Linked DNA regions of Callithrix jacchus. The protein of the gene in region 1 purifies or fractionates together with the protein of each later gene. This does not show direct contact. Links are inferred from orthologs where the notes say so. Each region holds a gene or a part of one and is shown on either strand. Other genes may lie near its edges.

Region 1 (2,508 bases):
TGCTCTGACCACAGCCCACATTCATGGACAGCAGCAGTGGTGTCCGGCCAGCTGTGTCGGAGAAAGCCTGGAACCAAGATTCAAACAAGGCGCTCCTCTGCCAGGTCCCGGAGGCTGTTGGAAGGATGGGCTTTTCTCCTGCGGGTGGAAGGCCCCCTCTGGTTCCCCAGGGTTGACTGACTCTTTGGAGGGAGGTGTGGGAGCCGTAGGGGCCCATGCCCAGCCTATGGCAGCACCCTGCCCACCCTTCTAACCCACCCTCACCTCTACAGGTGGTCCCTCCCGAATCCAGGCATCACCCACGCTCGAACCCACGACAGCAACCCCACCTGGACTCAGGGTCCCTGCCTCCTGGACAGCAAGGCCAGCAGCCCCGCAGGAACCCCCCCAGAGAAGGCTTGTGGCCACCCCCCTATAGACCGCGCAGAGACGCTTTTGAAATTTCTACTGAAGGGCATTCTGGCCCTAGCAATAGGGACCGCTGGGGCCCCCGCGGGACCCGTTCTCACAACCCTCGGAACCCAGCGTCCACTGCCATGGGCAGCTCCATGCCCGGCTACTGCCAGCCCATCACCACTGTGACGGCTTCTGCCTCCGTGACTGTTGCTGTGCACCCGCCACCTGTTCCTGGGCCTGGGCGGAACCCCCGAGGGGGGCTCCGCCCAGGCTACGAAGGCTACCCTGAGACTGACCACGGCCTGTTCGAGGACCCCCACGTGCCTTTCCACGTCCGGCGTGAAAGGAGGGATTCAAAGGTGGAAGTCATTGAGCTGCAGGACGTGGAGTGTGAGGAGAGGCCCCGGGGAAGCAGCTCCAACTGAGGAGGTGCGTGCCACCAGTGTCAGCAGCTGAGGGACCCAGAGCCAGGCAGAGAAGAGGCAAGGCTCTCCTGGGGTTCTCAGCGTCCCTGAGGGGCCCCGGCACTCAGGCCCATCCTGTGCTGGACCCCAGTGACCTTTTATCCCAGGGCAGAGCTGATGTGTTCAAGCTTTGTCATCCTTGGGGAACCAGTCCAGCCCCACACTGGGTCTCTCTTCCCCTGCTGCTGACCTGTGGAGGGTCGGTGCAGCGCCACAAGGACAGAGCAGTACCACCCTTTACCTGTTTGCCAATCTTTATTGGTCCCATGGGAACGTGTCTGTGTAAGCAGTCCCCAGATGAAGGGAGCAGTCACAAGCAGCCCCCCGGAATCCTCAGGCCCACACCCTACTCTCCTGATTGCTAACGCCAAGATCACTGCTGCCTGCTTTTGTTCTTTATTAATATGGATCCGCACACCTCTTAGTTCAGCTTCCTTTTTTGATTCTTTTTAAAGGGTGATTCTGAAGCAAAGAGGCCAAAGATTGGAAACCCCCGCCCCCACCTCTTTCCAGTACTGCTTGAAGAGAACTGCTTGGAGTTATGGAAGACGCCCTGCACCAGGATAGCAGTTCATTGTTACTGTAACCGCTTGTATTATTTTGTGAAATATTTCTATAAATATTTAAGAGGTGTACACATGTGTAATATAGGAAGGAAGGGTGTAATGTAGTATGATCTGGGGCTTCTCCACTCCTGCCCCAGAACGCGGAGGCCGCAGTGGGGCCTCTCCGTATTTGTGCGTTGGGCTCTGTGCCACAACCAAGCTTCGTCGGTCTTAAATTTCAGCATATGTTGCTGCTGCTTAAATATTGTATAATTTACTTGTATAATTCTATGCAAATATTGCTTATGTAATAGGATTATTTTGTAAAGGTTTTTGTTTAAAATATTTTAAATTTGCATATCACAACCCTGTGGTAGTATGAAATGTTACTGTTAACTTTCAAACACGCTATGCGTGATAATGTTTTGTTTAATGAGCAGATATGAAGAAAGCACGTTAATCCTGGTGGCTTCTCTAGGTGTAGTTGAGTGCGGTCCTCTTGTTTGGCTGTGTGTGTGAACATGTGTGTGATTTCACCATGTACTGTACTGTGATTTTTTTTTGTCTTGTTTCGATTCTCTGTACTATCTGTAACCCTTGTAAGCTCTGACCTAGTCAGGCTGGAAGCATCAGGATATCTTTTATTACTTTGTGCTGGTGAGGGCTGGCCCTAAACATCTGCCCAGTCCTTTCCAATCTGCCCAGCAAAAGCAAGACTCTCCTCGTGTCCACAGGGTCTCTTCTGATCATTGGCTGCCATCCAGGACCCCAATTTGTCCTTCAGGAGAATAAGCTCCTTCTCATGGATCATTGTGATGGATGCTGGAACCTCAGGGTATGGGGCTCACATTAGTTAATCATCGTGGGTGTTAGAGAATTGGGTGACATGCCTAGTGGAGAGCCTTGGCTGGGCCATGAGAATATACTCTAGAAAGCATGCAGCATTGAGCCCCTCTTACGACCAACACACACATGACCTGTCCCCCCACACCCCCAAATTCAAGAGTGGATGTGGCCCTGTCACAGGTTGAGAAACTTGTTCAGTTAATTCTTGGGCCACAGTCAACCCAGAAATGATGTTTGGATCACCTGTAGTTTAAACT
Region 2 (3,653 bases), on another chromosome or scaffold:
TTCTGTGTCTGTGGATCTGTTCCCATGAGTGGAATCTCTCAATATGCTACGACCCTTTGTGACTGGCTTCGTTCAGCCTCATGTTTTCAAGGCTCATCCATGTGGTGGCCCGTTGTCAGTGCCTTGTTCCTTTTTATGGCCGAGCTATGTGCCACTTTGTGAAGATGCCACGTGTATCTGTTCATCAGGTCACAAATCAGGCTTTTGTGATTTGGCCAAGTTCCCAAAGCCAGCCAGTGGCAGCACTGGGACCAGACCCCACAGGCCATGGGCCTCTGAGCAGGGGCCACCTGCTGGCCACCCTGGCCTTTGGGGACACAGCCTGGCAAGGGTGGTGCAGGCAAAGGCTTCCTCGAAGCCCTCTGGTCTGACCTGTGGCTGGGATAAGTAAGTAGACCTGACAGGGTGGCCTCCTTCCTGGAGGGGGCAGTGACACCACCAGCAGCGCCCTCAGCTCGTGTTTCTGGGCCTACAGCCCTGACAGGGCTCTGGGGCTTCTGCTTACTGTGCCCCTCATCCCTCAGCATCCGCAGTGTCATGCAGAAGTACCTGGAGGACCGGGGCGAAGTGACCTTTGAGAAGATCTTCTCCCAGAAGCTGGGTGAGTATGGCAGCGGCTCTGCCAGCCACTGGGGTTGACTTCTTGCCCCTACCCCAACCGGCCCACCTGTGCTCCCCACTCTCTGGAGGTTTGGCCTCCCATCCACTCAGTGAGACCCCAGGGGTTGCTCCAAGTCTCGGTGACCCCGCATGCCTCCCACACCCTGGCCATCAGCCCAGGGAGCCCCGTGGTGGGGGTGGGGGCCCAGAGTCTTACAGGGCCGTCAGGGAAGTTCCTCCTTTGGGGTTTTTGTTTTCGAGAGTTGCAGCTTCCCCTTGGCGCTGCCGCAGCTGCTCTGGGTCGTTGGTGGAACTGACAGGAAGAGGCGGGGCCCTTCCTGTGGAGCCTGCTGAGCTGTGGTTGGCCCCGCCCCACCCCATGGGCCCTCTTTGTAAGCAACCTGCCTGGCACTGGCCCTCCATTTCTCCAGCTGGTGTCTGATGCCTGCTGTCAGGAGTCATATGTGACCCACCCTGTGGACCTGGCCCAGAGGGCAGGCTTGGGGCAGGTCTCAAGGAAGCAGGTGCCAGCCGCACATGGCTCTGATTTGGCCTTCCCGAGAACAGGAGCTGAGCTCTGGACAGAGAGTATCCTGGCCCAATAGGATCAGGCATTGGAGATCAGCCCGGGGGAGTCAGTGTATCAGGAAGCACAAAATTTGGGTCCCAGGCCTGTGCCACGTGTCCTTGGGCCAGTTACTTCGCCTCTCTGAGCTGATGGTGTCCTTATCTGGGAGATGGGACTCATGAGTCTCACTGCACAGGCCTGTCAGGGTCAGATGAGAGCACTGTGCCCACTGTGAAGCTCCTCCTTGTTCCTCAAGGACCCTGCCCTAAAGGCCAGGCAGTGATGACGCTCAGGGACCAGGTCCCAGGGCCCAGGCCTTTCATTCAAGCATAAGGACACCCTGTCTCTATCTGGGGTCTCCTGAGAGCTTTCTCACAGCCCACGTTGCCTCTCCAGTTTCCTGTGGCCCATCCCCTTTCCATACCCCCTTCCCTGAGCCCCTAGCCCCCAACCTCTTTCCCTGGGACCTGCTACCTAGTGGAGGAGCCCTGAGTTCCACTCAAGCCTCTGCCACAGACAATGTGTCTGACCAGCTCCCCGAGCCTCAGTTTCCCCAACTGGACCTGCCCTCCCTGCCACTTTCTCAGGCTGCTGGGCAAATCAGCCAGACAATGGAGGGAGGCTGGGTCCAGAGGAGTGGTGTGGCCCCTCAGAGCCCCCTGCTCACCTTCCCCGCATACTGGAGCCTGACCTGGCCCTGGTGGCCACAGCATCGCAGGGCCCCTAGACAGGATCGTGTTGCACCTGCACAGCCCGCCCTGGTGGGGGGTGTTGGCCTCACAGAGCAGGCACAGGGCCCTGCTGTAGTGAGTGGGGGTGCCAACCCTGGTTGCCCGTCGCCATCCAGCTGCCTTCTGGGGAAACAGATTTCAGGAAGAGGGTAGAAACACGGGCCCCAACCCAGAATCCAGGAGTCTTCAAGTTGGCAGCAGCCGCCTGGTCCACCCCCTTCCTGGGGCCGAGACCACTTCTGCCACCTCCATACCCAGTTCTACTCAGGGAGCCCCAAACCATGCCATCTGCGATGATGGGAAGGGCTCTGAGAGAGGCGTGGCTCTGTGACCTGATATGGTTGCCTTCAGGGTACCTGCTCTTCCGAGACTTCTGCCTGAACCACCTGGAGGAGGCCAGGCCCTTGGTGGAGTTCTACGAGGAGGTGAGGCAGAGGTCTAGGCCCTGCTCTGGCCAGAGAAAGGGAAGGAGGATGGGGCAGCTTGGTGGAATCCACAAGTCACCTGGTGTAGGTGCCCCTGTGACCTGCTGGGCTATAGATGACCTGCGGGAATCCCGTCCTCCAGATCAAGAAGTACGAGAAGCTGGAGACGGAGGAGGAGCGTGTGGCCCGCAGCCGGGAGATCTTCGACTTGTACATCATGAAGGAGCTGCTGGCCTGCTCGCACGTGAGTGTCCTGGACTGGCCCTGCGTGCTGGACCAGAGTCACCTGTGTGTTGGGAGGGGAAGAGAGCACCCTGCGAAGAATTCATGGCCACTTCTGTCTTCCTCAGCCCTTCTCAAAGAGTGCCACTGAGCATGTCCAGGGCCACCTGGGAAAGAAGCAGGTGCCTCCGGATCTCTTCCAGGTATGTGCCTCCCAGTCCCCACCCAGGCGAGGTCACCTTGGACAGCCCGGGTCAAAGAGCCTAGTTAGCTGGGGGTGGGGCCTGGGCAGCCATGGTCTCTAGGGGCTCAGTCACAAACTTCCAGTTTCCTCCCTTAGCCATACATCGAAGAGATTTGTCAGAACCTCCGAGGGGACGTGTTCCAGAAATTCATCGAGAGGTGAGCGCGGGGTGGTGTGGAAAAGGAAGGGCGAGGAAGGGGTTGCTTATGTGGCTGGTGTGGAGGGTAGAAGCCAGCCTTCATTAGGCCCTGAGCTGGCAGGTGTCTGGTCCGTCAGTGGCCCCCTTGCTAGGACTCCTGAGAGGTCAGACAGGCTGCAGGTCATCCTCTTTCACTCTGCCCTCCTCAGTACCAGGCAGCTCACAGCCCGTCTCAGGCTGTTCTCTGGGAGCTAGGAGAGCCACACCACCTGTGGCTCTTCCTCTCCCGAGGGCTATATAGCACTTTGCTGGCCCACCTGGGCTGAGAAGCATCAGGGTCAGTAGGGGTGGGTGCAGGAGAGCACATGGCCCCCATGGCCCTCACAGCCAGAGTTGACACAGTGGGTGAGAATTGTAGGCAGATTTTGGCTAGCTTTAGGGAGTGGCTTTTTTAGTGTCACTGCTGCCCAGCCATGGAGTGAGCTCTGTGTCACTAGAGGTATGCTAGCAGGGATGGGAGCAGGAAGTCTGGGTTAGACTGGAAGACCTCCTCTCTATGCTGATCTGATTCCAGCAGGAAACCATAGCCAGGTGGCCGAGGCCCGTGCCGGGCACCCAAGCAGCACTGGCTGGCACTGTGGGTGGGCAGGCCCCCAACATTTCATTCCTGGAAGAGGACATTAAAGCTCCTGATGTTTCCACATCTACCCTGATGGGACCCCGG

What was found. Proteins that work in one complex are often made in the same cells at the same time.
Region 2: the proteins of PTCH1 (region 1) and GRK2 purify together in Homo sapiens (affinity purification with western blotting; 3 studies listed by BioGRID and IntAct, with this or other methods). This does not show direct contact. The link is inferred for Callithrix jacchus from reciprocal best matches to the Homo sapiens genes PTCH1 and GRK2.

Annotation. Positions count from the first base shown.
Region 1 is NC_133502.1:78,815,130-78,817,637, reverse strand, and holds part of PTCH1 (protein patched homolog 1), read left to right. Parts: intron 1-272; coding exon 273-821; 3' UTR 822-825; intron 826-1,315; 3' UTR 1,316-2,508.
Region 2 is NC_133511.1:124,362,488-124,366,140, forward strand, and holds part of GRK2 (beta-adrenergic receptor kinase 1), read left to right. Parts: intron 1-524; coding exon 525-601; intron 602-2,250; coding exon 2,251-2,324; intron 2,325-2,466; coding exon 2,467-2,568; intron 2,569-2,674; coding exon 2,675-2,749; intron 2,750-2,886; coding exon 2,887-2,948; intron 2,949-3,653. UniProt on the Homo sapiens protein: Specifically phosphorylates the agonist-occupied form of the beta-adrenergic and closely related receptors, probably inducing a desensitization of them. Key regulator of LPAR1 signaling.